Nothobranchius furzeri: one gene and its partner. The protein of the gene in region 1 interacts with the protein of each later gene in a biochemical or structural test. Links are inferred from orthologs where the notes say so. Each region holds a gene or a part of one and is shown on either strand. Other genes may lie near its edges. The genes, in order: nup85 and nup43.

The links.
Region 2: the proteins of nup85 (region 1) and nup43 form a complex in vitro, tested with the Homo sapiens proteins (2 studies listed by BioGRID). The link is inferred for Nothobranchius furzeri from reciprocal best matches to the Homo sapiens genes NUP85 and NUP43.

Annotation. Positions count from the first base shown.
Region 1 is NC_091752.1:54,269,493-54,284,982, forward strand, and holds the end of nup85 (nuclear pore complex protein Nup85), read left to right. Parts: intron 1-6,270; coding exon 6,271-6,393; intron 6,394-6,472; coding exon 6,473-6,604; intron 6,605-6,678; coding exon 6,679-6,782; intron 6,783-6,878; coding exon 6,879-6,962; intron 6,963-7,058; coding exon 7,059-7,124; intron 7,125-7,339; coding exon 7,340-7,491; intron 7,492-7,602; coding exon 7,603-7,720; intron 7,721-7,914; coding exon 7,915-8,015; intron 8,016-8,171; coding exon 8,172-8,323; intron 8,324-9,489; coding exon 9,490-9,591; intron 9,592-9,729; coding exon 9,730-9,828; 3' UTR 9,829-9,938; downstream 9,939-15,490. UniProt on the Homo sapiens protein: Essential component of the nuclear pore complex (NPC) that seems to be required for NPC assembly and maintenance. As part of the NPC Nup107-160 subcomplex plays a role in RNA export and in tethering NUP96/Nup98 and NUP153 to the nucleus.
Region 2 is NC_091742.1:11,407,303-11,424,142, reverse strand, and holds nup43 (nucleoporin Nup43), read left to right. Parts: upstream 1-6,867; 5' UTR 6,868-7,087; coding exon 7,088-7,201; intron 7,202-7,416; coding exon 7,417-7,539; intron 7,540-7,993; coding exon 7,994-8,071; intron 8,072-8,170; coding exon 8,171-8,333; intron 8,334-8,416; coding exon 8,417-8,552; intron 8,553-8,636; coding exon 8,637-8,788; intron 8,789-8,888; coding exon 8,889-9,009; intron 9,010-9,297; coding exon of another isoform or gene 9,298-9,301; coding exon 9,302-9,527; 3' UTR 9,528-9,796; downstream 9,797-16,840. Other genes in the region: pcmt (protein-L-isoaspartate(D-aspartate) O-methyltransferase), read right to left, coding at 2,040-2,125, 2,651-2,771, 2,936-3,040, 3,125-3,156, 3,236-3,340, 6,544-6,724; serine/threonine-protein kinase LATS1, read left to right, coding at 11,559-11,891, 12,302-12,386, 12,895-14,186, 14,671-15,253, 15,663-15,845, 16,043-16,149, 16,226-16,720. UniProt on the Homo sapiens protein: Component of the Nup107-160 subcomplex of the nuclear pore complex (NPC). The Nup107-160 subcomplex is required for the assembly of a functional NPC.

The DNA of each region.
Region 1 (15,490 bases):
AAAACGGTTCAGTTGTTATTTTGACTCGTTTTGGCTGCTGACCAGCGGGGCCGGTAGATTCTTGGTGGGGCCGGTAAATATTCAGACTTACCGGCCCGGCTGGCCGGTTGGTTTTGAAGTTAATGTCCACCCCTGCGATCCTGTCAGCTGGGGATCCAAACGGAGGCGTCGTATTGGCGGGGTAAACTGGAGGAATCTAACCTATCCTGTGAGGTCCGGCAAAGAGCGTCCTCGCCCTTGTTTGTCCTCAACTTCCTCATCTTCTCTCAGGATTGCTCTACTAAATGTTCGCTCGCTGGGGAATAAAACAGTGCTTTTAAAGGATTTTTTTATTGATAATGGATTAACTTTGTTCTGCATGATGGAGACGTGGGTCCCACCGGGTGAGTCAGCGACACTTGCTGAACTTTGTCCGTCAAATTCTGTTGTGAATGAGCCCAGACTGTCGGGTCGAGGTGGGGGCCTATTGACTATGTACTCATCCTCCCTCCCCCTCAAGTGCCTCCCGGGCTCATCACCCCCACCAGCTTCGAGGTCTCTGTTTTTGAACTCAGTCTCTCCCCTCCAATTCTTTTTATTCTGTGTTACCGACCACCAAAATATAACTCTGCTTTTATTACGGACTTTTCTGACCTTTTAGTTGAATATCTCCCCAGGTACGACCAAGGTATTATCCTTGGTGATTTTAATATTCACGTTTGTTGTCTGTCGAATCCTCTGGTGAGAGATTTCTCAGATGTTCTGGTTTCATTTGGCCTCCAGAAACTGGTCAATGTTCCTACTCATGAGCACTCTCACACACTGGATTTAGTTTTATCATTTGGACTGAAGGTGCAGGACTTGGTTGTTCATCCTGTCAGTATTTCAGATCATTTTTCAGTTGTTTTTAACATCTCTGCCATGTTGCCTGTGGTGAGAAGGCAGGCTCCTCGCTACTCAAGGCACATCTCTCCCTCCACAACTGCCTCACTACTGTCCATCCTGGAGGTTGAATTATCCAATCCTTCCTCATCTGGGATCACCACGGATGTGGATTGGCTTTTAAATTCTTTTAATTTGACTTGTTCTGTTGCCCTGGACTCAGTCGCTCCCCTTAAACTTAAACGGAAGAAAACCACCTCTGATCCTTGGCTGAACAGTGAAACACGCAGCCTCAGGCGGCGTTGTAGGGCGCTGGAAAGAAGGTGGAAAAAGGACAAGCTACTAATCTCACAGCAGCTTCTGATGGATGCCCTTGACCTGTATCAGAGAAGTGTTAGATCTGCCAGGAACAAATACTTTGCATGCTTAATTTCTCAGCATAAACTTTATAGCACTGTCAACTCCATCTTGTCAATAACTGAACCTGGTAGTGTTGATCCCTCTGTGTCATTGTGTGCTGAGCTCCAGACCTTCTTTCTTCACAAAGTCCGGGACATTAGGGATAGTCTTGTGCAACCAGGATCTGGCTGTCCTGATGTACCACCAGAACCTCCCTCATTCTGTAACTTTACTCCCATATCTCTTAGTGAATTGTCAGATCTGATTGGAAATATGAAACCAGCAGGTTCTCCTGAGGACCCTCTCCCCCCGAGGATGGTGGGTGAGATCATCCCTATTTTGGGCCCCGCCATCTTAGACATTTTTAACTCTAGCTTGGCTACTGGGGTGTTTCCTACTTCTTTTAAAAAGGCGGTTGTGCAACCAATTAAAAAAAACTGGTATGGACAGCTCAAACCTTGCAAACTTTCGGCCAATCTCTAAATTACCGTTTTAGTCTAAGGTCCTCGAAAAGATTATTCACAGATTACAGCACACATGAATAGCTTTTCTCTGGTTGATGTGTTCCAGTCTGGGTTTAGGCCACTTCACAGTACTGAATCAGCCCTTCTTCGCGTGACCAATGACATCCTGGTGGCTTCTGACTCTGGGTCGCCTGTTTTACTCCTACTATTAGATCTTTCTGCAGCATTTGATACCGTTGACCACGATATATTGCTGGATAGACTTGAGTCATGGGTAGGGCTTAGGGGTACCTCACTTCAGTGGTTCTGCTCATACCTGTCAAACAGAGTTTTCAAGGTTCAGTTGGGTAATTGTTCCTCTACATTCCTTCCACTTCCATGGGGAGTCCCGCAGGGATCTGTGCTTGGGCTCTCCTGTTTTCAATTTACATCCTCCCCCTGGATTTCATCCGGAGGAAATATTGCTTGGGCTATCATATTTATGCAGATGATTGCCAGATCTACCTGGCTTTGAACAAACCAGGCTCCCTCTCTCTTCTGGACCAATGTGTGGCTGAAGTGAGGGTTTGGCTTGCCAACAATTTCCTTAAGCTGAATGATTCTAAGTCGGAGGCACTCCTGATGACCCCTAACAAAACCACACACGTATCTTCTGATTTGGCCACTCTCCCATATGACCTCAAGCAGTGTGTTACCAACCTTGGGGTGAAAATGGATACAAACTTTTCCATGGGCCCTCAGATTAACGCAGTGGTCAGATCGTGTTTTTATCAGCTGCGCAGACTAGTCCGCTTAAAACCGATCCTGAAACGAGCACACCTGGAATCTGTAATTCATGCTTTTTTCATCTCCCGACTGGATTATGCAAATTCCATTTTAATTGGTTTACCTGCCTCCGCTCAGGCTTCAGGTCGTACAGAATGCGGCAGCCAGGTTTTTAACAAACACCCCTAGAAGAGACCATATCACACCTGTACTGGCGCGGCTCCACTGGCTACCTGTAAACTTCAGAGTCAAGTTTAAAATCCTGACTTTGAACGGTCTGGCTCCGGATTACCTCTCTGATCTTGTGACTCCAGGGTGTCCGCGGGGTTTTAAAAAGTATTAAAAATTGATAAATAAAAATAGTCAAATTTAAGGCCATTAAAAGTGTTAAATTTGGACTCAGAGGTATTATTTTTTCCAAGTTAGGTATTATTTTTTTCAGACTATCAGGTGTCGTATTCTGAACATCGACATAGAAATATATTCCGAATGAAATGTTTTGAACGATTATAAAAATAAAACAAGCCGATTATTTGCTCCTCCCACTTGAGCTGCCCTGTTACAAATGAAGCGCTCCGTTGCCAACTTAGCGACTTTGATGCTATTTCTAGCAGCTTTTCAGACCCCCTTCTTGACTTTTTAAATCTTAAAAGTACCTAGCGAACACCTCAGAAACATCTCTGGTAACCCTTAGCTACTTTCTGGATAACTGTCGTCGACATTTCCTGCAGGTTAGCTAAACACTCCGCCTGCGCTCCGGACCGTTCTTCAGGACATTAGGAAAGGGAATGATGTAGTGATGTGTCAGTCGCTAAAAAAACGGCTCTCGGAGCCGTCTCCCTGTTGGAGTAACCAGAGTGAGTGACACACACTGTACCTGCGGACTCCTGAGCAACTAAAAACAGCTAAATGTGCGCGTGCAGCGTGCTAAACACACGTGCAGCTTGCCCCGATTGCTGTGAGACCGGGTTGGGGGGTGGGGGGTGCAGCTGTGGTTGGGACAATTATTACATTAACTGATGGGCCTGTAAATAAATAGTTTATAAATAAGGTAGAAATAAGTTCCTCACGCTGATAACTAATAACTAATCTCTCTGAGGACACGGTGCTAGTGCATGCTCCTACAGCACATTGACATGGCTAAATAAATGTTATGCAACATTTTGTGAACATCAATTTATTTGCATTTATTTGTTATAAATGCCACTGTATAATTCTTGCTGTCAGTATTTGCAAGATATTGGTATTTGGGTCTGTACTGGTTAGACTTAAATGAGTTAAACCAAGGTCTATAGCCCTTGGGTCATAAACTATGAGCTATGAGTATATTGGTCTTTTTATACTGGGAATCAGGAGTTCTTTTAGTGATCATCTTGTTTTTTGTTTATTTTTGCCCTGATTGTGCCCTGAGCAGTTTTATGACTGAATAAAAAAAAAATCTACATAAATTGAAAAATCGTCTTAAATAATCGAGATCTCAATTTCAGTCACAATAATCGTGATTATTGTTTTTGCCATAATCGAGCAGCCCTACTTTAGCATATCCGGTCACATTATGATGACGTCATATTCAGTGGTTCTGCATCATTTCAGGCCCCGTGGTCAACTGTCTGAACCGCTGAACAGAAGTGCCTGGCTTATTTTCTAAGTAAAATAAATATGCGCAATACGTTGTCAACATCAGTGAGTCTCTAAGTCTATTCTTTTTGTATGTTATATATGTTAAAATATGTGTAAATAGGTCGCTGATTAACACTTGCAATTTAGTGTTGTGATGGTTTTAAAAAAATTCTGAAGGTAGTAAAAAAGGTATTAAAAAGTAGTAAATTTTACTTAAGGATTGCTGTATATACCCTGGACTCGTTATGTGCCAAACCGGGCGTTGAGGTCTGCTGATTGCCTGCTGCTTTGCGTTCCAACAATGGAATGCAAAACGCGGGGGCAGCGTGCTTTTGTCTATGCTGCTCCGACACTCTGGAATGCTCTTCCTCTTTCAGTGAGGCTGGCACCATCCCTCCTCCGGTTCAAGTCGCTACTTAAGGCTCACTTTTATGACCAGGCATTTTTAAATCCCTGACTTTTATTATTTTATTATGTGTCTTTTATTGACCGTGATTATCTGCCTTGTTGTGCATTTTATTGTTGACTGTGTATTGTTTTATATTGTGTTTTTACTTTTTATTCTGTACAGCACTTTGGTCGGCTGCCATGCCGTTTTTAAATGTGCTTTATAAATGTATGGTATGGTATGATGGATAAAAGTCCGCTCAGAGTCAAAGATGACACCCAGGTTCTTCACTTGTGAAGATGGATTAAAAGGCATTGATTGCAGTTTTGGTAAAAGTTTCTTTCTCTGGGCCTCAGGACGATTACTAAAACTTCAGTTTTGTCCTGGTTAAGCTGGAGAAAGTTTCCTGCCATTCAGGATTTGATGTCTAAAATGCAGTTAAAAAGTGCATCCATTGACTGTGTGTCATCAGGAGACACCAAGATGTACAGCTGTGTATCATCCGCGTAACTGTGGAAATTCACCCCATGTGTCCTGATGACACTGCCAAGAGGGAGCATATAAAGGTTAAAAAGCACTGGGCCTAAAATTGAACCCTGGGGCACACCACATGTAATCCCGTGAACCCTAGAGGATCAGGTATCCAAACTCACCATAAAAGTCCTGTCTGTGAGGTAGGAAGTGAACCATCGGCCGATCCGTTTCAGAGTTAAAGGAATACTACTGTATCAAAGGCAGCACTTAGATCCAGGAGAACCAACACAGTCACCTTCCGTTTAGCATAATTTACTCTAAAATTATTTAAAATCTTCAGAAGGGCCATCTTGGTGCTGTGGTTCACCCTAAAACCAGACTGAAATTTTTCTAAGATATTATGGGTGTTGAATTAAAACAAGCTTTTCTAAAAATTTTGCTTAAAAATGGTAAGTTGGAAACCGGTTGATAATTGTTTAAGTCATTAAAACCTAAATTGCTCTTCTTCAGCAGGGGCCTCACCACCGCCCATTTAAAAGCGGCAGGAAAGACCCCCGTCTGAAGAGAGCAATTCATCATAGTTAAAACCGCATCTCTAAAAGAATCAGAATTGTTTAAAAAAAACTAGTGGGAATAGGGTCCAGGACACATGTGGTGGGCCTCACTGAGGAGAAAACTTATCAAGACTCTCAATAGAAAACTGACGTGGAAACGCTTGGATCAGAAAAGCCACAAAGATCTCTGTCACACTGTAACTTAGCATTCATCGTGGCTCATTACGGCTGTTGTTGGTTTAGTGTCCAGGAAGCGGCAGAGACTAGTAGAAGCTAACCGTTAGCATTAGTAACTCCACAACACAGCAGAACTCCTCCAGGCTTGTGTTATTTGGGATAAAATCAATGTTGCAACGGTAACAGTCAGTGATAGAGTCGTGTTGCTGAAATGTCAGAGCATCAGGAAATAAGACTCCAAAGCCCTCAGGCTTCTAAAATGTTTTCTTTAAACTGTCTTATTAAAAAAAGAAGTAATTTTATTTTATAACAAAGACAAAATGAACTTATTTAATAAACCCTCATTCTTCTGTTCTTTACTCCTCTGGCTAACTTCTTGTTCCTGAAACAGGAGCACCGGAGCTATTTCTCCACAGTGATTGACTCTAAAGGCATTTGTCTACACTAGTGATCACTGCTAATGTATTGAAAGCAAGTGAACTTGGATTTTAAACTTCTGCTTATTGTTAAATATTAAAACATGACTCTGCTGATTTTATTTCCTACATTTTCCAAAAACCCCTCTCAGCCTGGCGGCACTCAGACACTAACAGAGTTTGATGTGAAGTGGAGGAACTGGCACGAGGAGGTGGACCGCTACCTGAAGGATAACTCATTTGCAAGCAACCAACACCTGGAGGTCATCTGCAAAGTCAGTGACAGCTTGAGTTGTGGTTTGGTCACGTTTTCTGATGTGAACTGAATCAAACAGGGTGTTGATGCAACCTTAGATCCTACTGGGGGATGAAGACGTGTTGTTGGAGCACAAGGAACTTCTCAGCACCTGGTACTACTTCCTCATCACCAGACTCCTCTACTGCCATCCCACAGTGAAGCCCACAGAGTTGCATTACTACGCTCAGGTAGCCCCCGAGTCTGCAGCACTGACTCTGAGCACATGTAGTTTACCTGACCCGTGTGTTTGTGTCGTCTGCAGTCGTCTATGATGATGTTTCTGGATTCGGGCGTGCCGGAGCCGTTGGACAGCATCCTGCTGGCTGCCTTTGAGTTTGACATTCATCAGGTCATCAAGGACTGCAGGTAACCGACAGGGTCTACCATATTAATCACATTCAAGGTGCTTAACAAGTCAGTTCACGAGTCCTTGAACGGTCGGCGTCTCCCTTGTCCCCGCAGTATTGCTCTCAACAACTGGTGGTTTGTGGCTCATTTAACAGACCTGTTGGATCACTGCAAACTCCTCCAGTCTCATAATCTCCAGTAGGGATGATTTCTTTTATCTGGTTTTAATCCAGAGAGGATAAAATTACACAGTTAATTAATCTAATCTGTGTGTGTGTGTGTGTGTGTATGTAGTTTTGGATCCAACTTGAGAGAGTTCCTGCTGTTAGAATACGCCTCTGGTCTGTTCACGCATCACAGGTATGGCTCCCTTGTGACCGTTTAACCACACAGTAACATGTTTACACCTGAGGGACTGTCTAGTGGCACACTTGTGTTTTGGGTTTCAGTCACACAGAAAATCAACGACGACAAAAAAATGTCCTGCAATCATCGAACTGGATCCAAACATTGAAATATGAGTCGTTCTCTGTTATTTTAGCGTTCACTAACCAGATGTTTCTGTGTGTTTTTAGTCTCTGGCAGTGTGCCGTGGATTATTTCGATCACTGCCCAGAATTTGGCCGCGTCTATCTGGAGCTGCAGATCGAGCGAGTTCCTTTGGACACGGAGCGCAAAGCGCTCAAAGTGCTCCGAATTTGTGAGGAGAGGCAGATGTCAGAGCAGGGTAGGGGCTCGGTCGTCCTTTTTATCAGTTTGTGTCACAAAGCTAATCTCTCTGGTGTAAGCTAGGCTGGAAAAGCTTGACCTGGTTTGTTTTTTGTTGTTTTGGTCCCAGTGCGGAGCATCTGTAAGATCATGGCCATGCGGGCTGTAAGGAACAACCGACTGGGCTCTGCTCTCTCCTGGAGCATCCGAGCCAAAGATGCTGCGTTTGCCACCCTGATTTCAGAGAGGTCACATCCCTTTAGTGGTGCTCTTACTGAAATATACACAACTGACAGCTTCATCTTCATTCTCCAGGAACACATTTAACTTTTACCTACATGCTTCTTAAGCTTTTTATAAGTATCACTGTTGGGCTTATTAGTTCACTAAATGTCTTTCTCTCTGAAAATGATTTGAAGTTGTTTTTGTGTTTGTGTTTTAGGTTCCTGCAGGATTACTGCGCCAAAGGCACCTTCTCTGATCTGGATCTGATCGACAACCTGGGCTCAACCATGCTGCTCAGCGACAGGCTAACCTTCCTTGGTAGGAGCCTGAACACACACACACACACACACACACACACACACACACACACACACACACAAGACTAATAGAAACAGAACCAGTATCCGCTTGATGCAACAACATGTGATGGTGAGAATTTCTGGAGGATGATTTGATAGAAATGATTCTCTCCAGGAAAATACCGTGAGTTCCACAAGCTGTACGGAGAGAAGTGCTTCAGCGATGCTGCAAAGCTGCTACTCTCCCTCATGACGGCTAAAATCGCTCCCCAAAGCTTCTGGATGACGCTGCTGACGGATGCTCTGCCTCTGCTGGAGCAGAAAGAGGTCAGTCCACACCTGAACATCGGTTTAAAGTAGATTTGTTATTACAAAATCAAGAACTTTAGTTTATCCCTTTGATGCATAATGGTCACTACAGTGGACAGGTACTCAAAATAGTTATTTATTTATTTTTGCTATTAAGCACAGCTGTTGAAGACTTTATTGCATGTGAGCCTCTCCAGTTGGACTTCAGTAAGGCAAGCCAACATATTTCATGTTCAGAATGCACGCTGTCCACTGAGATAGACATGTAATAAAGTATTTGTAAATTAACAAAATGTTACAAAGAATATTTGTTGAAATTTGTTTAATTCACACCTAAAGATGAATGAAACAAATTGTTTAAAAAATCATGGTTGAAGATCTCATAATTCATGCATCAGAGGGTTAAATGCACAAATCTGGAGCATTCAGATGTTGTTAAATGAATGTTTTGATCCTGTTTAAGATCATTTGTGACCTCCTGGTCAGAGTTTTGTGTGCATGAAAAATGCTGCACAAATAGAATAAGTAATATCTATCTTTAAGTAGGTATTTGTGGAACTTTTTATTCATCATTAAAAATTAATTAATTTATGTAGTTTTTTTGAGTGACACACTACCGTATGTTATTTTTAATGTGAACATTACTACCCCTGTTTTATTAAAGGGGCACTTTGCAACTTTTTCATATTTTGAAGTCATTTTCTTGAGCCAGTTTGTGCTAAAATGACCCTTTTTGAGGTTAATTAAAGGCCACACAGCTCCTATCATCTCTCCCCCCCCCCCCACCCCCCCATGTGGCAGAATATCCCACTTGCAACCCCAGAGTGCCGGTAAAAAATTGAGCTGACACACCTGGCGCTGCAGTCTGCTTCCTGCATGTTTTGGATCGGGAACACATCTGATATGTTTGATTTGGTGACGACTCACTCCTGTAGACACTAATGAAGGCTGAGGAGTCATTTCAGCTGTTAGATTAAGGTGTTAAAAAGACGAACGCACAGCGAGGAGATTTCTTGGGGGTGCTAAAACTGCCTAGTTACCATTTAAACCAACTGACTACTAAACATGTTTCTTGTAAGAGTTAGCATATCAAAAATTGAGCTATTTGTCATTTTTTATTATGTGGATGAAAAAATCCGAACAGTTGGAGTTTCAGTGGAGTAACTTGTTCTCCTTGTTTTCAGGTGATCTTCTCTGCAGAGCAAACCTATGAGTTGATGTACTGCTTAGAGGAGCTCACCTCCTCTCTGATCACTGCTGCTTCTGGATCAGGCAGACCCATGCAGGTCTTTATTCTTCTTTCAGCTCGTCCCAGCAGCTGGACATTCCTGTTTCATAGTTTTAACACAAACCAAACCCAGTTTGATGTTAAAGTGATTATCTACTGCCGTTTCCACGTTTAAAATCTGTCTTTCTGTTTTCAGGAGGAAGACGTAGAGGTGACCAAGGTGGAGATGCTGAGACTCGCCCTGGCCAGAAATCTGGCTTCAGCTATTGTGAAAGAAGGAACAATGCAGACATAAAGTAGATTCAGATTTAAAAACAAGCTCTTCTTTTGCATTTTTGTACTGTTAATAAGATCAAGTCATCAAATGTTTGTTTTTTGATAATAAATATCTCTTCATTCCGTTCACTTACGTTGTTTCTAAATCATTTTTGGGAAATTATTAGAATAAATCAAAATATCAAACATATCAAATTGTTTTAAATTATTTAACTGTAAACAAAAAAAATCACGTTCACGCAACACGACACAAAAACAGCAGCTGTGTTTTATTAAACAGGGTCATTACAGTTCAACTGATCCCTTTTCTTATGAAAACAATCTCATTTTTCCAGTTATTGACCCTTCTCATGAATTATATTCCAAATATGTTTAGCTCAAATTTTTACAAAGTGTTTGTTGGACCAAAAGCTTTCTGTAAGAATTCAACTGCTTTAGTGGGGGAAGTTCCAAAGCAGTAAATGATTGTGTCATCAGTGTAAAAGTGCATATAAGCATCTGACACATTTTGTAATAAGTCATTGATATACATAATGAACAAGAGGGGTCCCAAGACTGAGCCCTGTGGTACTCCCTTGTGAACACTAAAAAATTCAGAGGACAACCCATCACAATTAAGGCATTGAGTTATGTCCTTGAAGTAGTCTGTGAACAATGGGATTGCATGTTCAGACAATCCCAAACAAAGAAGCTTTTGTTTTAAAACAGCATTTACACGTTGAGGGCAGGAGGCTTGAACCCAAAATGCAAGAACCCAGAGATACACAGGCAGGAGTGATTGCAAAAATAAGAATCCTTTATTTAGGAGGAGTTGCAAAAAATCCAAAGGGCTTGAATCTAAGCCTCGCATACAAACCACTGAAAGCCAAAACAAAAGGTCAAACTTATGAGCAGGAACCTAGCGAGCACAGAAGGGAAACTAGAACAACGCTGACAAGACAACGGACCAACAAAACACAGAGACAAGACGGTTATATACACAGGGGCTGGATGATTAAGGAAATTGGGCACAGGTGAGACTAATGAACTGAGAGAAGGAGCAGAAACAAGCAGGGGAGAAAACTATCTAAATCCTGTAAAACAAAGCTACTAAACTAAAATAAACCTAAACACTGTAGAACAAAGACACAGGAGATTTAAAGATAAGTAAACTAATGACCTAAATAGGGAAGGAAACCCAACACACTAAAGGAGATAAGACCCCAGATAGCAAGAATTGGTTGAATAAACATTGAAATAATGTTTTTTGCTATCTGGGACTAGATCATCTGAACATATAGAAAACTAAAAACAAGTGAAGTGACTGGGGGAACATGAGGGAAACCAGGAGGGGGCTGGGGACCAAAGGGACACAACATGATAACACATGGTCTACAGTGTCAAAGGCTTTTGACAGATCAATAAAAAGACATTGGTCTGGTCATACCTCAGAAAGGGAAGGTCGTTAGAAAGCCCAGGGCCGATTTAGGGGGGTAGAGGTGGGTCCCGTGACACTGTGACGTTCCTATCAAGAGTTATGGCCACCTGAAAAATCCCCATTGCAGTAGTAGACGTTGGGTCATATTGGAACGTAAGCAGGGAGTCCTCGTTAATACTCGGACCTGGTTAATACCTGGTTTTGAGATTCGATATCTCGGCAATGGGAGGTCATAGAACAATGCGGATGACACCACTGGAAAGCCCGTGGCTGGTATTGAGGGAAAAGATTCCCGTGGCTGCACAATCTTCCTGTCCAGACATATTCGAGCATGATTTTGATGAAGTCTGACAGTAATTTGGAAAGGGAAAGTCTTACGGGTGGTACCACTGCATGTGCAATGACCAGGTTGGACCAGGTAGACCTTGGTTCCATAGCTCTACGAGGTACCGTTCCAGAGTTACTCTCAATCAAAGTTTGAGATTTGGTGACGTTAAAATCTGAAGGAAAGGACGAGGAAATAGAGGGCACCATTGGATGCGTGATTCCATGCTTAGTGGGAGTACAGCTTGGTCCCATGGCTCCACGACGTAATGTTGTAAGATAAGTAAGAACATGAGTGAATGTTAATACCGCATGTATCTCCGGAATGCAAGGTTGCAGCGCACTGCAACCATGCTCTGACATAGCAACACTTTTGAGCACACCAGAAGTGTCCACTTGTCTCTACGAGCTTTAGTTCCTGTGATACACAAAACGTGACGTGAAAGTGGGCGTATCTCAGGAACGAAAGCTCGTACAACAAATTGGAGTGCACAACGTAAAGCCTGTATGTGATTTAGGGGGGCAGGACTTGGTCCTGTTACGCTATGACCTTCCTATCAAAAGATATTTAAATTTGAATTATTAGAATTTAAATAAAATTAAATTAAAACTTATACCTGTATATCATCACATACCGGCTATATAAAGGGCTGTAAAACAGCTATAAGAGCTCATTCAGCTGCGGGAACTCAACGAATCAACAGCTCTTCTTCTTGCCTTCACTTTTAGCTTTGATACATAACATTCACTGCACAAAAACAACATTCACTCATATTCTTACTCAAAAACAATACAAATACACCCTAATCACACTGATAAATACAAAAACACCACGGTTAACGGAAGTTACGGTGTAACTATATGGTTCTGTGAGTTCCTGGATGACTGCCAGTGCAGTAAACAGAGTGGATGTATCTCCTCGCGCTCTGCGCAGGTTGAGTACTAATGTAAACAAGTCTATAAATTACGCGCCGATAGCTACGTTCGGGTCTCCCAGGATCTTCTCGCCCGAGAAGTTCCGAGTGACTCCTGTAACTGGCAGTTATCCAGGAACTCAGAACCATAGTTACACAGTAACTTCCGTTCTGTTTCGTTCCCTCCTGACTGCCAGTGGCAGTAAACAGAGTGGATGACTTATGACAGCAGTGTCACAAGGAACATAAAACTCACCTTCACTCAGGAGGTAGCCGCCAGAGGCAGCACCACCGAAGCGAGCGTGGACCCGTGGCCAACGTTGAGGCGGTAGAAGCGTGCAAACGTGCACGGAGTTGCCCAGGACGCCGCAGCACGGACGTCCGCCAGTGGCACACCTCTCATCGCCGCCCAGGATGTAGCAACACTCCTGGTGGAATGGCACACGATCCCAGGGGGAGCCACTGCACCCACTGCCGCATAAGCCGTCGCAATGGCATCCACGATCCAATGCGACAGCCTCTGCTTCGAAAGGGCCCGACCCCTGTTCACTCCTCTGTGACAGACAAACAGCTGGTTCGAATGCCGGACAGTGTTTGTGGCCACAATATAGAGCTGCAGTGCCCAGACCGGGCACAGCAAATTCGCCCGCCTTTGTCCCTCCGAATGAAATGGGGGAGGGAAAAACGCCCCCAGCTCGATTGCGGCATTTACGTAGCCAGAGGGCAGAACCTTGGGAAGAAAGGCAACGTTGGGCCACAGTGTCACCCCCGACCCATCTGCCTTCCACCGCAGGCAGGCGGGTCTGATGTCCAGTGCGTGCAGCTCACTGACCCATTTAGCCGACGTCACTGCCAAGAGAAAGGCGGTTTTCACAGACACCACTGTCAACGGGGCGGTAGTCATCAGCACAAAGGGTGGCCCACACAGGGCCTGCAGGACCAGGGGAAGGTCCCAAGCAGGTGCCGGCCTGCACAAGGCAGGATGCAACCTTCTCACGCCCCACAGAAACTGGGTCACCAAACAGTGAGCCCCAATGCTCCTGCCATCCACCAAGAGGTGGTTGGCCGAAATAGCTGCCAGGTGTACCTTAAGGGTCGAGGTGGCCCGGCCCTTGTCAAACAGGTGCCGGAGGTACCGCAGAACCTCATGCAGGGAACAAGAACCAGGGTCCACGTTCCTGCCGGAACACCAGGTAGAGAACCGCTGCCAACAGCGAGCGTACGTGGCCCTTGTAGACAGAGCCCTGGCACTATCCAGCACCTGCTGGATGGAGGGCTCTAAGCCGACTAGGGGCTGTCTGCCCCCTTCAATGGCCACACCGTGAGCCGAAGATGATCTGGGGACGGATGCCAAATCCTCCCCTCCATCTGAGACAGGAGGTCCCGTCTCGCCGGCAACCGCCACGGCTCCCCGTTCAGCAGACTGAGAAGCAATGGAAACCAGACCCTCATGGGCCAGTCTGGCGCCACCAGAAGGACCTCGTGTGACGAGTCCCTCATCCGATGGAGGGTTGGTAAGATCAATGGGAAAGGTGGGAAAGCGTACAGCCGAACCAACGGCCAGGCATGTGCGAGGGCATCCATCCCCAGAGGGGCGTCGGCCTCTGCCAGGGAGGACCACAAGGGGCAATGCGTGCTGCTCCTCGAGGCAAACAGATCCACCTGGGCCTCTCCGAGCTGATGCCACACCCTCTGCAACACCTGAGGGTGCAACCTCCATTCCTCCGGGGGAAGACCCCGCCGGGACAGGCAATCCGCCACCGAGTTCCTCCACCCCGGAAGGTGCAGTGCCCTGACGGAGGCCAAGCAAGGGTAAGCCCAGGTCAACAGCGTCTGAGCCTCCCTCAACAATCGCAATGACCTGGTGTCCCCCTGATGGTTTATGTGGAACACTGCCGAGGTGCTGTCCATTCAGATGAGCACATGCTTGCCCCGCAGAAAGGGCAAGAAGCGCCTCAGCGCCAAGTAGACGGTCTTCAATTCCAGGACATTGATGTGAAGCCGTGCCTGACGGGGGCTCCACAACCCCTGGACCGACCTGCACTGCCAATGCGCCCCCCACCCCCGGGGTGACGCATCCGTCGTGACCACCTCCCGTCTAGCGGGAACCACGCCAAGCGGCACGCCGAGATTCAGGTAGGTGACATCGTCCCAATGACGCAAAAGAGCCACACAGCTGCTCGTGACCTCCAGCTCGACCCTTCGGTGTCGCTGGGGATCCAGGCGGAAGCCGTTGAACCACCTCTGCAAGGGCCTAAGGTGGAGCAGCCCTAGAGGCACCAGTGCAGAAGCCGAGACCAGCATCCCCAACAGTCGTAGCCACACCTGGACCGGGGGTGCCGCCCCAAGGCGAAAAGCCCAGAGCAAAGACTGAATCCGGACCCTCCTCTGCTCGGTCAGCCTCGCCCGCATGGCCACAGAATCTATGGCAATGCCAATAAAATCCACCCGCTGAGTCGGAACCAGAGAACTCTTCTGCAGGTTCACCGTCATCCCCAGCGCCTCGACGTGGGCAAGGACCCTGGCTGTGGCCGGACCCATTTCGCGACACGACGGCGCGCAGACGAGCCAGTCGTCGAGATATGGCAGGAACTTCAACCCCGACCGACACAGGGGGCTCAGGGCTGCCTTCACGCACCGCATGAAAACTCGGGGGGCGAGGGACAAGCCGAACGGCAGAACCAGAAACTGGTACACCCTCCTGAGGAAAGAAAACCGCAGGTACTTCCTGTGCCCCGGATGGATCGGGACATGGAAGTATGCGTCCTTGAGATCTATGCTCGTAAACCACTCTCCCGGACAAACCACCTGAAGGACATCGCGAGTCCGAAGCATGCGGAAGGGCAGCACCTTCAGGAACCGATTGAGACCCCTGAGGTACAGTACCGGGCGCAGGGGCCCGTCCTTCTTCGACACCAAGAAATACGTCGAATAAAAGCCGTCTGCCTGCAAATGCGGCGGAACGACCTCTATGGCCCGTTGCTGACCCGTGCAGGATCTGTGACCAAAGTCACACTGACCCCCGA
Region 2 (16,840 bases), on another chromosome or scaffold:
CAGGACATTAGGAAAGGGAATGATGTAGTGATGTGTCGGTCGCTAAAGAAACAGCTCTCGGAGCCGGCTCCCTGTTGGAGTAACCAGAGTGAGTGACACACACACCGCACCTGCAGACTCCTGAGCCGCTAAAAACGGCTAAATGTGCGCGTGCTGAACACACGTGCAGCTTGCCCCGTTTGCTGTGAGAGCAGGTTGGGGGGTGGGGGGTGCAGCTGTGGTTGGGACAATTATTACATCAACTGATGGACTTGTAAATAAATAGTTTATAAATAAGGTAGAAATAAGTTCCTCACGCTGATAACTAATAACTAATCTCTCTGAGGACACGGTGCTAGTGCACGCTCCTACAGCACCTTGACACGACTCAATAAATGTTATGCAACATTTTGTGAACATCAATTTATTTGCATTTATTTGTTATAAATGCCACTGTATCATTTTTGCTGTCAGTATTTGCAAGATATTGGTATTTGGATCTGTACTGGTTAGACATTAATGAGTTAAACCAAGGTCTACAGCCCTTGGGTCATAGACTATGGGCTAAAAGTATATCGGTCTTTTTATACTGGAATCAGGAGTTATTTTAGTGATCATCTTGTTTCTTATTTATTTTTGTCCTGATTGTGCCCTGAGCAATTTTATGACTGAATAAAAACAAATAAAATCAACATAAATAGAAAAATCGTCCCAAATAATCGTGATCTCAATTTCAGTCACCATAATCGTGATTATTATTTTTGCCATAATCGAGCAGCCCTACCAAACGTCGTGACCATAGGTGAGGGTAGGAACGTAGACTGACTAGTAAATCGAGAGCTTTGCCTTCCGGCTCGGCTCTCTCTTCACCACAACAGATCGGTACAACGCTCACATCACTGCAGATGCAGCACCAATCCGCCTATCGATCTCACGCTCCATCGTTCCCTCACATGGGAACAAGACCCTAATCAACTTTTTTTGGTGATAAACTGTACAAATGAGTCTAACCGTGCTGTACACACGTGTAGTCAATAATCTGGCACTTCAGTGCATCTTAGTTAAAATTTAAATATTCTGCCTAAGACTGTCAGTGTTGCGCCCTCTTCAGGTAAAAACTCTGCACTGCATTTTAATTTAAATCTGCCACCGCTAGTGGCTAAGAGGTACCCTACTACATTAGCTTGTGCATTAAGATGTCACAATGTCGTGAATCTGTGTGTGTATTTGTTAGCGGTTCCTCCCTCTCGGTCTCCCAGGCAACAGCATTTGCTGCATTTTTCAAACAGGAACTGAGAGTTGAGTAAGATTCTGGTAGGGGGTGACTTGCTCTTTCAACTCCTCCACTTGGGGCAGAACCTCATCCCTGACCCGGAGAAGGCATTCTACCCTTTCCGACTCGACCATGGTCTCAGATTTAGAGGAGCTGATTCTCATCCCAGCTGCTTCACACTCGGCTGTGAACCGCTCCAATGAGAGCCGGAGATCATGCAGAGATCTGAACCTCAGGCCACCAAAACGGACCCCCCCCACCCCCCACCCCCACCCCCCAACACCTCGGCTGTGCCTAGAAATCCTGTCCACAAAAGTTATGAACAGAATCGGTGACAAAGGTCAAAAGAGCCCGACTTCCTGCTGACAATATGGACCAAGCTCTGGCGCTGGTCATACAGAGACCTGACAGCCTGCATCAGAGTGCCTGGTACAAAAACACAGCTAACAGTAAACTAGTTTAGTAACCATCACACTTTTTAGAGCATGAACAAATTATAAATATTTGTATAAAATATAGAGAATGTAGAATTTAGTTTAGTGCAAAACAAAAGTGCACTAATATTATCCATTAGATGCAAAAAATATGAAACATCTACTCTAAAATACTGAAAGAAAAAATGTTTAGATCCCAGATCTTATAGGTTTTAGACGCTTTCTGCATCAACCTCAACTATAACTGATCTTACAACACAATAATAACAAAACAACAATAATTATGTCAATGCTTCGGGTAAACCTCCAGCGTCATGATTCCAACAGAACCTAAAATATTCCGAATGACTCACAGCTTGGGGGACGTTGGAAGCTGCTGCACCAACATGGATGGCGTCATACGGCGCCTCCTCTGGGTGTCCCATTCGCCCGTCTCCCACTGAAAACACACCGCAGGGTATCAGTTCCAGGCTGCCAGCCTCGACACAACACGGACAGATTCGTCACTCGTCCAAAAATCTGCTGCCGCTGCTGTTCCTAGAGCTGGCGACTTTTCACCAATTTAAGCAGAGAAATCTAAATAACCCATTTCTTTTATTAGCTACTATCTAGAATCTTCTGTGCAGATTATTGCTGCAAAACAAGGTTCCCCCGTTACCTACTTTGCGGTGCACACGAGGGAATGTAAATGTGTTGTGATGTCATATAGAAGTCACTTCTGATTCGTCGCAGCCCTACAGAGGAACACGAGTGTCTGCCTGCGTTGGTGAATGACCTGGCTGTAAGAGCGCTTCAAGCCTCCTGCTGAGAAGGTGAAAGTAGGAACTCGCTGCTCTGCTCAATTATTTAGCGCTGCAGACGGCCTATCGGGCAAACGGGAGATTTTCCACCGGTAAGGAGCAACGCACGCTCTTCAGCAGGTTCAAAAAGTCCAAATTAAACTCTAATCCTGAATCCATCTTACCTATTAGCTTGACTCGGCCTGACGTTATCAAGCTGGGGTCATCTTTCTTCACATTGTTTATAGAATCGTCTACCAGCTCTTTGATGTGATCGATTCCTACAACTTTTCCTTTAGGACCTACCTAGAAAAGGAAAGAAAAGCCCAGAAGACGACAGTGTTAAGCTCAAAACGTCAATTCGAACCGTCGTGATTCTTAAATCCTCTACAGCGATTGGTTCAGCGAACACATCACAGCGCTGCCAAGGAGAACTCGTATGTGTTTACCCGTCATGTGTGTGGGCTCACCATTCGTGCAAAGCAAACAGACAGGATCCCGCTGCCGGAGCCGACGTCCAGAGCTTTGGCGCCCTCGCACAGCTGATCATGTAGGAGCTCCAGTGCATAGGCGTGCTGGGTGAGGGGTGGGGGGCAAGCACAAATGAAGTCTCGGTAATTTAACTAAAACAGAAGATTGAGAGTGCAGAAACAGCCTACCATGTGCGGTGCGCTGATGGTTGCTTGATAGCCTGTTGATAAAAGAAGGAAGGATTAGTTTATCCTCTGATGTCCAACTGCCACGCGTCGATGATCCGTGAACACACCTACCTATAGACTGTGGCGAGTCCATGTATGCGTTACACCTCGAGTAGTGCGCTCGGTCTGTGGCCAGCATGACTTCAAACACCTTGTCGGACTTAATAATGCCATTTTCTGAGGATGCAAAAGAGTTTGTGTCACGGCGTGTTCTGGAAACGCGAGCAGAGAGACGTTACATAATCCTGCAGCCGAAGGGCAGAAGGGTTGATGCAGAAAAGAAACAAACCACCACAATTACTGCTGCTGCTGCTTAGAGGGCGCTGCAACACGTTCAACACTGCGAATTATCACCAACTCAATAAGAACGACTGCATAGCGCCAAACTGGATGTGTTGTTGTGCACACGTTTTCCCCCATTAAAAAAAAACACCCGATTTGTGTTGCATTATATAAATGAATACATAATGTGGGAGAAAGCTCTAACCACAACACCTACAGCAAAAACCCCTGGTGGCTAACGACAGTCAGGTGAATCTAAAACAGAATAAAACATTTATAAAAGTAATAATTTAGATACTGAAAAAATGCAAAAATTGAACACATTTTCACTAAAATACAATAAGATATCATTGCTTTATTCTTGAAAATTGAGGGGGAAAAACTATGAAAAGTCATACATTTGCATATTACAGCACCCCCAACTAGAAACCAAGACCAATTCTTGTGGACATGTCAGATAAACTATAAACAGCAGCTAAAAAACAGGCTGCACCGACCACACAAAGTTAATAATCCGTGTTTGGAGCTGAAAAGAAGCCGAAAGGATGCAAAAACTGTTGATTAATTCAAATTTGAATCCATCCTCAATCACTGCAGCACCTTGTGCCAAAAACAGAAAAAGCCAACAGCAGGCGGTTCTCATTCCTCGCTCCCCTCACCCACGGAGCAACGCGCAGCTTTAGGACACACTCCAAATAAAACTGCCAAATAGACACCCACCACTGATTTCTGACATTTAAATGATCAATAAACCATTTGAGCTGCTTCCTTCCTGTCGTTTTCTTTCATATTTACAAATAAAAAAATAACACGAATTTATTTGCTGGCTGTCCACCATGATTTTATTTATGTTAAAATTTGGAGGCAGCCCAGTGAAACAGGTGAGGCTTTGGAGACAGTCCAAACTGCCTTTATTTACCAGGAAAGTAAGTTAGCGGTGAATTAGCATGCGTTCTGCATGTGACCTCTTTAAAAGCATCTTATGCAAACTCTGGGTTAAATGTCTATACAGGTCAGACCACAAGAGGCAAAAAAGAGAAAAGAAAAACTGATTACTACGAATCAAACCTTTTATTTGTTTATTTTTATGCTTCTGCTTTTGTAAGATTAACCAATTTGATTTAAAAATTATCAAAGTAACGACTTTCTTTTAAAGGCTTTCAATTTAATAAATGTTATTTTTGCACAGCTTTGCAAACTTGTGAGCTGCTAAAAATGTAAACTCTGTATAACTTACGTTAATTTCCCTATAAATGAAAATATAACACAGTGAATAACAACGCAGCTTTTGGCAAACTTGCAGCTTGCAATAACATCCCAGACTGCACACAATACAAATAGACCTGGTAGATACTTAAGAGTGAGAATTAATTTGCAGTATCGCGCTTGCAGATATCCCATCTTCATTTGCTAAATGCACTAGAAAAAGAGTCTAAAGATATTTTTACAGTAGTCATCATTGACTGACTGCAGAGGAAGCCATGATGTTGATTATAGTGGACTCTGGACCACGTAACAGCTAAGTCATCCATCTTTTACTGATGTACAGTATTTTGCAAAGGCAACAGAAGGTGTTAGGACATTTTTTTCTTTTATTTGATCACAAAAACACCATAAAGACAATTGTCAGGGGTTCCTCTTGCACTAGTTGTGTCCAATCCTGGTCTTCCTGGAACAATAACCAGGATGCTTTTGCTATTGTAATGATTTTCAGTGGTTATATTACCTTTTAGACATGTCATCAAGGTCCAGAGAAACCTGTTAATCAGGTGTGTTGAAACAGAAATGTCTAAAATGTGCTGGATTGTTGTCCTGGAGAACCAGGAAATGACACTGTATGTCTTTTAGCATACTTGGGATCCACCGATACCACTTTTGTCCAAACCGATACGATACTGATACTTGGATCTGAGTACTCGCCGATACTTCTACCACACAAATAATGCAATGAATTGGAATACAGGTTTTATTTTCTTCTCTGCTTTCAACAGGAAAAGATTGTGAGGTAGATAAAAAATAAAATATATTCATAGAAATGATCACAAAACTGAAATATTAGGTGAACAGAAATGACAAGTTATGGTGAAGCCACTTTCAGGCAACTGCATTGGTATCGGTTCCTGGTTTCGGTTGACTTTTACATCCCTACTTCTATGCCAGCATTACAGTTTTCTTTACTTCATAGTTTGTCTTTTTGACAGGCTGGTTACATGAATAAACTTTTATTAATTTAGAATATAAAAAAACAAGATCTGAACTGGTAACTAGATATAAACTGGAAAAATAGGTCGTGTCTATAAGCCCAGAAAGCCAAGCTGACGCTAGGCACACCCTCCTACAAAATTCTCAAAATTACTCTGACTTTTTTGTTTGATAATTTAAAACACATTTTGCAGGTTGTAATGTGTGCAAACAATAAAGAAACTGTTTTGATTTCTGCAGATCGACTAAGGTTGATCGATTTCTTATTAAAATATTGTGAAAGGATATTAAATGTCCATGGAAAGACATCAGCTAAAATATATGCACAGAAATTTGAAAATGTTCAACAATCAGGCTTCTTAAATGGAAATGAGTCGTGGGCTTTGGCACAGAGCTATGTAGCTAACAGCTGCAGTGATACAGCAACTTGTCATTATTTAAATGTATCCGAGTATTAAAGCTCAGCAGAAACTATCCGGACATGTACAGCTGTTACTGTCATTCACATTGAAGTCCAGTAGAAGACACAGACATCAATGACAGTGGGCAGTAGCATAAAATCTCAAATGACGCACATACTGCTAACATGCTAAGCTAACTTCCCACAGGACACCACTTTTCTGCGATTTACAACAAAACGGAAATGTCATTTCTGCTGGGTTTTTCCCCCCTGCTGTGACAAAAGCGTTGCCTTGTCCCACACATGGTCCCACAGCGAAAAACGTGGTTTAGGAAAAGGGGTGGAGAGGCGGGAGGAGACGCTGGGTCACCATAAACATAGCTTGCTAGTAGCTACCGCTCCTAAGCTAACCCCAGCCTCCAAACTACAACGTTTTCTGGCGACGCGGCGGTGAAGTTCATCGCTGCTGCCGCTTTAAACCTGCAACCGGACTCACTGCGAAGGTTGTTGACAAGCTCTGCGTGGCTGGCTCCTCCAGATTTCCAGGCCATTATTAAGCAGACTTTACGGAGTAAGTAGACAGCAGCTGTAAGTGCCGCGCCTGCGCCAATAGTTTTACCAAAGAAGCTGACAACCTCCAGAGCAGACGGCGTAGCGGCGGATACGTCACTAGACATCCAAATGATTTTACAGAGCAGAGCCGCCTCTCAGATGCACGACCAAGCAGAAAAATATGTCATTTTAGAATATAATTAATCTGTTCATGATGCATCAAAGTCAGCGTCAGACGAAAGGGAATAAAAGCCACGTTCCTCAGCCATGCAGTGCTTTATCAGGTTTTTGCCGCAGTAACAACGGAGACGACCGCTAGGTGGCGGAATGTACAAATTCACATTTCTTGCGAGAAACGCAGATCAGATTGTTTGATCCTGTTGAGCCACCGTACTTACGTTTAAAGCTAGTGGGTGCGTACATAGAGCTAAGCTAACATCAATAAGAATATTTTTCGTATTTAGGCAGCAGAAACGTTGGTTGTTCTCATGGAGAGTGCTAAGTACGTGTCCCAAAAAGTCAGCAAGGCCAGATGGCGTCCTGTGTCGTCTTCGTTTTTACAACAACCAGAAATCTTTGCGACGGGATCGTGGGACAACGAGGTTGGCTAGTTGAATATTTTTGGTGAACCAAATTTACCCAGTTTTTCAAATGTTCTGTGTTTCTCCTGATTATGCACACTTACACGTTGTAACTGTCAAAAAGGATTTAACACTTGTTACACATAGTTTGCTTTTTTGTGTGTCTGTCAGGTTCGTTTTGGTCATTTTTTTTGCAAGGATGTGGCCTTTATTTAAAAAAAAAATTATTTCTGTAGGAAAACAAGATATCTATTTGGTCCGTGGGTAATTACGAAAATTCGGGCCTGGAAGATGGATTTGAAGGAGATCCGCAGCTTATTTGTGAAAACAAGCACGATGGAGATGTTCTTGGCCTCCAGGTAAGACGCTGTAACAATAATGTCATAACATACTAATAATGCAATTATTCATCACCATCAACTTTATTTATAAAGCACTTTACATCGACCAGAAGACAGACCAAAGTGCTGTACGCACTTTAAAGAAATTAAAACAACAATGAACCCTGCAGAGATGCACATAAAAACAAATAAAGTACATTTTCTGCGCATTTCAGAATTTTGCTAATACAGAAGGCAAATCTGTTGTTCTATGCATCAATAGTTTTGTTTCTTTGTAGGTCTGCAGGATTTCTCAGTGCACAGCCTTGTTATAGTCAGCAGGAGGATTTGCAACACAGACTCATTTGTTTTGCAGCCATTCTGTTGAAATTTTGACACGTGCGTGGGACATTGTTTTGCATGACTCAGTTTTAGTCGAGCTTCAGCTGTCCAATTCCTCCAAATTAGACTTGATTATACTACTTGATTATAGTTCCTGGATCAAGAGAGAATCGTCACGGCCTCATCAACGGGAGCAGTCACCATCTTCCGCCACCATCACAACAGTCAGGTGCAGTAGAGCTTTCATAAAAGATGTCAACTCCTGTATGAAGGTTGTGTTGCTGCCTTTGCTGTTTATTTATAAAATCATTTTTTCTTCTTACATCAGACAATCTCAGTTTCCCAGCAGTGGGTGAAAGCGCACCATTACCCCTGTGACAATGCTCCCTGCACTGCAGTTGTGTGCAGCAGCCCTGAGATCATCACAGTTGGGGAGGACGGCAGGATTATTGTCCTCAGAGCCGACCAGGATTGTATGGCTCAAGTCATAGGTGAGATTAAACCACCCCATTCAGAACTCTGTACACTTTAACTCGGTGTCAAGTCAACATGCTTTTGCGGGTACATTTGGTAGAGAATGCTGACAGCAGCACGATTCATGCTGTGACTTACCTGAGGACGACGGAGATTTTGACTGTGAACTCCATCGGACAAATAAAGCTATGGGATCTAAGACAACAGAGCAACTCGGCATCACAGATTCTGTCCTTGTAAGATCCGCTTTAGCACGTTTTCCCCATTTTTAATTCTACTATTTTGCTGATGTATGTGGATTTTAATTTTCCTCCAATCAGGTCAGGAGACAGAGTTCCTTTGTACTGCATTGACAGACATCCAAACCAGCAGCACATTGTAGCCACAGGAGGCCAGGATGGAATGCTCTGTATGTGGGATGTGAGGCAAGGCAGCATGCCCTCATCCCTCATGGAGGCCCACTCAGCTGAAAGTAAGATGTACATTTTTAATTATTTAATGGACATATAATTTACACACATATTTAAATATTTTTCACTTTTTTAATGCTTTTTGTCTAACTTTCCTGGCAGTGTGGGAGGTCCACTTCCACCCTACCAACCCAGATCACCTGTTCACGTGTTCAGAGGATGGATCGCTGCTGCACTGGGAGACGTCCTCCCACTCAGACATGCCCTCCTTTCTACAAGGCAAGTCCTATTCATCATAATAATCATTATTATTATTATTATTGGTATTCAGTTTAAAAGGCTGCCTATGTACTTCTTCTATTTTCTTAATTATAAAGATTCTATGGAAACACAAAAGCCATAATCAAGAAAATATCCAGTTGAATGTTTTACTGAAAGTTTACATTATTTAGGGTTAAATAAACAAAGAATTTCCTGATAATGTCCAACACCAGGTCAGTCTATTAAACATTGTCATGTTGTACTATTTGTCGTAATTTCACTGTAAAAAGTGTTATTGTTGTGTTTCCAGGTAGCAGAAACAGCAGCGTGACCTCTCGCAGTGCGATGGCCCTTGCTGGAGGAAACCAGTCCCTCATCAGTGCCTGGCTCAACGGAGACTCCAGTAAAAGCCGCCTGGAGACGACCCACATGCTGCCCAGCCAGACGCTGTCTGTCAACAGCTTGGATGTGCTTGGACAGTGCTTAGTTTGTGGAACTGATGGAGAGGCTATTTTTATCAACAAACAGGTCCCAGTTTAAAAGATCTGGAGGTGACTAATAAATACATGAATGCAAATTTTAATTTGATGTTTTGTGACACATTGGAAGACTTTTTTTTTGTTACACAAAAAGCCAATATACCTACGCAATGAAAGACCTCTGTGTCTGATGCAATGCTTCATTCTTTGCAGTGACAGAATATGGATTAGTGTTTTTGTATGTCATTCTGTACACAATTGTTCAGATTAATAATGTTTTGTACAGATTACTTAAAAAACAATAAAGAAATAAAATGTAACTTTCTCAAATTGTCTCAGGATGTTACGTTTTTTTATACTGACAAATCAAGTAAAATTGTAAATCAAACCTACCAACATAAAAATGTCAAAGTCAGCCTTGTGAGCTCTTATGTTGCTCTGTAAATTTACAAATAGATGTTATGTGCTCACCCAAAGGGAAATTGATTTATTTTTATACATATTAATGCTCTTATTTTTTTATTTCTAAGATTTGTGCTGTGAAATGTGTTTGGACTTCATTAACAGGTTAGCAAAAAAAAACTTATAAAAAAAAGCATTAAAATTTTCTTCATTAGTTTTATTAGTGTTATTTTGTTCTAAACTTAGCAAAAAAGTAATTTCTCCACTGACTTTTATTGTGAAAGTCCAGCGTCTGATGGTGCGTCGTTAGCTTAGCTGTTGTACTTGTCATTCAGATATCCCAGGAATTCAACAAGACTAGGAACCAGTCGGCGCGGAACAACAAGGGCATTTTAACTTCAAATCGCGTCCTCGACGCCGAGGAGGGTCAGCAAACCACTACTGTCCGTTAATAATAGGAAAAGCGACAGCGGCGGACTTTGGTGAGTTGTTGTTATCGGAGCTAGCAGGCTAATGCGCAACCTGTTGTTGAATAGCATCAAATGGATTCCTATTACACACAGGCCGCTTGAAAACTGCTGTGTTGTTTGATTTTAATCCTTTTTAAAACTCTTAAACTCAGTATTCGCCCACTCTTTTGACTATCCTTATAAACGTTTAATTGTGACAAAAATCCGTACCCAACGCCGGAGAATTTACGTAAAATTAGCGTTATGTTAGCATAGAGTGCTAAGGAGGCTATACACACGGAATGGGGTCTTTTAATGAAGTCAGTTCCAATCGAGACATTTTTTACCTTAAAATTTACGTACGCCGAATTTCACTCAAAAGTAAACGATAAACAATCATAACTATTTTTTTATCAACACATGACTTCCAAGCGTGACAGAAACAGGTTATTTATTTACAAAAGGATTGAGAGGCATGAAAAAGTATCTTATATGTTTTGAGTATTTCCAGATCATTAATTATTGAGAACAAAATATAGAAAACGTGTGTGTTCCTAGACTTTATTTTCTGGAAGGTTTTAATTTGATTAAAAACGAATTGTATTGTAAAACTTTTCTAAATGATCACTTTCCACATGTTTCCCTCACTGTTTTCAACTTATCACAAGTTCACCCAAACATTTTCAGAGCTCTATGTTGATCTAAGTGGAAATAGCTTTAAATATACACCTGATCTTTAATCAAATTAGACTTTTTCATTAGGAATACAAGCTTATTAAAAACAGATAACTAGTTTTATTTAGGGGAAATTCCCAGAAATCCTTGTTGTTGTTTTGCACAGTCAGTGGTGATTTTTATTTATAGTATACAGACCTTGTTACTGTAAATTTACAGTAAATGTTCATATCTTTACATTTTAAAAATGGCAGAAATATCTTAACATTTGAGCTCAAGAATGAAAGTAGATCTGAAATGTAAAATATGTAGGAACGTTCTGGTAAAGAAATAAGTTGGGCTCTGTTAATTACTTCTCTCAATCTCATTTTGCTGAACCTGTTTGGTAACATTATGTGTACTCTGGTTGCTTGTTTATCTCACTTTCAACTGGCATCAAATATTTTCCGCTGCAGCACATAGATGTGAGGTCAGACATCGGGAAAACGTCCGCTATTGTCGCCACCCTGGATTGGTGATATCCTCTCCATCCCTTTTATCATCGTCATCATCATACATGCTCGTACATGAGGAGGGGGGAGAAACCCGAAGGATACAGACAGATGAGGCCCAAAATATTACCGGTCGGCAACTGCAGCGGCAACAGCCAGCAAATGCTGATGGAAATCCGAAAAAGTCTGCGCGACATGTCCAAACCTTCTGATTCTTCTAAAGTGGACAACGGCGGACACGGAAAGATGGCTCCTGAAGATCCAAGGCGCTCCAGCAATCCCAAGCACCATAAGGCATTACAGGAGATTCGCAAGTCCCTGGTGCCCTACGAGGTGAATGGTTCATCAAGCACTTCAGACATTAACAAACCGATGTGTCTGGAGCAACCATGCGCCGGGTTTGAGGAGGTAAGCGGAGTTATTAAGAGTTTATCCCTTTTGCCCTCATAAACACATTCTTAATGAGGAATTGTGACAGGTTCTCATTCTGTTCGTGCCTTTGTAATAGAAGATAATCACCTGCTGCACTGTGTTTAGAGGGCAGTTATTTGGGAAATGCTAGGTATGCAATGTGAAATAACAAGCGTCTGGTTTGCGTGAGTACATGATGAAAAGTATCATGGTAGGCAGCGCAGGTGCGCGGGTTCAACCGTGTTCAGAGGGTGAAAAGCAACAGTCTTGGGAAAATTAGATTGTTTTATTCTTTTAAATTATAAACATCTTTTGTTAATTTTCTAATCATTTTTATTGTAGATTAGAAATTATAAGTCATTGCATGAAGAAGGAATTTCTTAATGGATCTACTTTGGCCTCCGTAGCGTCGCGGTGCGACCAACTACCAGGACCAGATGAGGGAGCCGGTCATGGCTGCTAACACCAGCTCTTCAGGCCTGAAAGCTCCAGGTAACAGTCCTCTGGGATCCGTGTTAGTTTTCCTTCTTTCTTCTACATGACCTTTGGACTCAGCCCTCATATTGTTTGCAGGGATCAGGATGGTGACAGTACCTGCTTCCAAACATGAGTCACTGTACAGCTTCATAACAGAACAGAACGGAGGGTTTTGGTGCTTATTCATGCTCTCGCTGGTATTATATACGTAGAGGGAACACAGATGCATCTGTAGTATCGGTTGTAATTTCCACTGTTATGTGATACTGATAATATAAGTAATTGTGTAAAAAGATTCTTAGTCGCTCGGAAGTGCCTACACGACACTTATGACAGCTTCTTTACATGGCCAGGCCGCGAGGGGCGTCATGAGCATCTCTTCTGAGACGATTTGTAGAAAACTTTTTTTTCTATATTTTTATGTATTTTCCTTTTGCCGCCTACAGTCACAGCCCAGTGAAATCCTAGTTTAAGTTGTCTTTGTTCTTCACTTAAATCTGACAAGATCTTTACTGTCGTGTAGGATCTTCTCACATGCAGCAGGTGGTGCTCAGGAGGCCTAGCTGGAAGGGCTCTAAGGAGGCCCTCGCTCCCCGCCTCGGTCCTCACATGGCAGATGGGATGGTGTACCGCCCCGACAGCCCCGGGCCACCTCCTGTCTACCCACCACTCCGCGGTGTCGCGGCTTCTAATTCTCCCTGGGACAACAACCCATCAACCAAGCGCTGGTCTGGGAATGTGGAGTACTTTGTTCCACGAATCTCTCCAGTTCCCCAAGGAGCTCGGCCTGATGGGTACCCAAATCCACCTCCTCAGAATCAACGCGGGGCCAACCCAGGGCCCGTAGTTCACCAGCCTATCATAATGCAAAGTTCAGGGAATAAATTCACTTCTCCTTCCACTCGGACTCAGAATGGCTCCGCTCAACAGGACTACATACCAGGGAGCAGTAGACAACCCCCTCCTCCATACCCAGTCAACCAGAGCAGCCGACACAGTCCCACCGAGCAGCCGGCATCCTCTCCTTCGTACGTCAACGGTGGAAACATCCCTCCTCCCATGCTGGTGTCTAACTGGAGCAACAGCAACCAGGACCTGTCCCCGTCATGGCAGCAGAACGTGCCAGTCCGCTCAAACTCATTTAACAACCACCAGCTCAACGGCAGACCTGCTCATCAAGCCAGCTCCCAGCCCTCTGCCACTACGGTCACGGCCATCACTCAGGCTCCCATCCTGCAGCCGGTGTCGAGCACGCAAGTCCAGAAACCAGAGCTACACACTGCCGTCGCTCCCACACATCCTCCATGGAAGCAGCACCTTTCAGCATCTCCAGCTGCGCCTGCTTACCCAGAACCTTCACCTCAGGTCCCTCAGATCCCCACAGCACTAGAGGCACCAAACTATATAGGCCCTCCTCCACCGTACCCTAAACACCTCCTACAGCAGCCGGCTGCACCCTCGCCCCCTGCGTACGACGCTGCAGCCAATAAGCTTGTTGCGGGTAGAGAGGAGAGTCCTGAGGAGGAGAGGAGCTGCAGCAGCGGCAGCAGTGGAGACGCCTCCAGGGAGAAGGTGTCAGAAAGTCTTGAAAGCACCACGGCAGCGGAGAAGGAGAGGAAACAAATCACAACATCACCTGTTCCTGTTCGCCGTAACAACAAGAAAGATGAGGAGCGCAGAGGGGAGTCTGGGAGAGTCAATCTGTATTCCCCCCAAGCCTTCAAGTTCTTTATGGAGCAACACATGGAGAACATCCTGAAGAACCATCAGCAGAGGATTCGGAGGAGGAAGCAGCTGGAGTGTGAAATGGACAGGGTGAGACCATCTATGAAAAGAAACTGTCCTTTTCTCTTTTTGACCTGGTTTCCCCGTCTTATCTTGGTAAATCTCCGATCTTTTCCACACTTTTAAGTTTTTCTTAGCTGTTCTTTCTCTTCCTTTCTCTCCTTGCTGTCACAAGCAGCTGACCTAGGAGGTTAAAGTATCTTTTCCTGTGCTGTGACTCAGAAAAGCCCAAACACACATCAGTTACACAAGTAAGGTGTCAAGTGTCTCATATCTGTATTTTCTCCTGCATCGAGTGAAAGCATGAGAAGAGTGGCATGCCATCCCGCAGCCGCCTCCGTGCACTGCACGCACATTTTTGTTTTGGGGTAAATTGATCATTAACACTTCAGGAAAGATAGATTTCACTTCGTTTTGTGGTGGTGTCACTCGTTTCCATTCATTACTAACGTCTCATTTTAACATGGATTGCATGAAAGCTGCATTTATTTATTTTTATGGTCCCCATCCTCAGGTGGGTTTGTCGTACGAAGCCCAGAAGCAGATGCGTATGATGCTCTACCAGAAGGAGTCCAACTACATCCGTCAAATGCGCGCCAAAATGGATAAGTCCATGTTCAAGCGGATCAAAACCCTCGGCATCGGAGCATTCGGCGAGGTGTGCTTGGCGAGAAAAGAGGACACGGGGTCGCTGTACGCCATGAAGACGCTTCGCAAAAAGGACGTGCTGCTGAGGAACCAGGTGGCCCACGTCAAAGCCGAGCGGGACATCCTGGCCGAGGCCGACAACGAGTGGGTGGTGCGTCTCTACTACTCCTTCCAAGACAAGGAGAACTTGTATTTTGTCATGGAGTATATCCCCGGGGGGGACATGATGAGCCTCCTCATCCGGCTCGGCATCTTTAAAGAAGAGCTGGCCCAGTTCTACATCGCAGAGCTCACTTGTGCGGTGGAGAGTGTCCACAAGATGGGCTTCATCCACAGAGACATCAAGCCGGACAACATTCTGATAGACAGAGACGGACACATAAAGCTGACCGACTTTGGTCTGTGCACAGGCTTCCGCTGGACCCACGACTCCAAGTATTACCAGAGCGGTGGGTGCTAAAGCTCAGTGTCTTGTTAGGTGTTTTTCTGTCGCTACGTCAAGCTTTTAGAATGAAAACTGTAAAACAATGGTAATGTTAACATTTATCCTGTCAAATTCACATACAAACAGATGAAAAAAGATTTTACAATAGAAAATCTTCCTTTTTGTTTTCAGATATCTTGCCGTTTGTGTCTCTCAGGTCAGGTTGAGCCTAAAAAGTAGAAGCCGGGAGGCTGTTGACATGTTTTGGATTCGTGCAATTCAACATTTCTGTTTATCAATGTACAGCGCAATAATATAAATCCAAATTACATCAACAAAAGCACATTTTAAATCAGTATTGCATCATTTAGCAACAAGGAATTATCAAATAAAGATGTCTAAGTCTTAAATTATGTGTCTGTTTATCTCTGCAGGAGATCATGAGAGACAGGACAGCATGGACTTCAGTAAGGAGTGGGAGGATCAAGCTAACTGCCGCTGTTCAGAGCGTCTGAAGCCTCTGGAGAGGAGGAAGGCCCGGCAGCACCAGCGCTGTTTGGCCCACTCACTGGTGGGAACGCCCAACTACATCGCACCAGAAGTTCTGCTCCGAACAGGTAAAGTTTTCCTTTAAAAATGTTCAGTTATGTTATTTTTGCTTCAAATCTTTGCTCTAATAATCCACATCATGGTAAATAACAGCTTTATTCTGTTTTTCAAAATAAAAGCTGAGAAACTAAATATTGACATCTTGATGAAAAAGAAAATCAATTCCAAACGTCTTTTAGTGATGTCATTTCCTGTATAACTGTAGGATACACTCAGCTCTGTGATTGGTGGAGCGTTGGGGTCATCCTGTACGAGATGGTTGTTGGACAACCTCCCTTCTTGGCGAGCACACCCCTGGAGACGCAGCTGAAGGTATGAGAGGCACCTGCTGTGAAATGTTCTGCAGCCACGGAGTTCCTTAAAGCCGCGTCTCTTTCGTTGAAACCAGGTGATAAACTGGAAGAGCACGCTGCACATCCCCCCTCAAGCCAAGCTCACCCCAGAGGCGTCGGATCTCATCGTTAAACTCTGCCGCGACCCAGAGGATCGCCTTGGTAAGAACGGCGCAGATGAAATCAAAGCTCATCCATTCTTCAAAAGAATCGACTTCTCCAGCGACCTGAGACAGCAGGTGGCACCCTACGTCCCCACCATCGCTCATTCCACAGACACCTCCAACTTTGACCCAGTGGACCCTGAAAAGCTGCGGAGCAGCAATGGCGAGGGCAACCACAACGACACGCTGAGCTGTTGGTTCCGCAAAGGAAAGCACCCCGAGCACGCCTTCTACGAGTTTACCTTCCGGCGCTTCTTTGACGACAACGGCCACCCTTACAGCTGCCCCAAACCCATCGAGTACGAGGGCTATGACGAGGACGAGGCGGACATGGAGAGCGCGGAGCTCGAGGCCGGGAAACAAGGCCGGGATCTGGTCTACGTGTAGATCCTGAAACCCACTAAGCTGCTTGTACATAGAAAGTGTGTGTGTGTGTGTGTGTGTGTGTGTGTGTGTGTGTGTGTGTGTGTGTGTGTGTGTGTGTGTGTGTGTGTGTGTGTGTGTGTG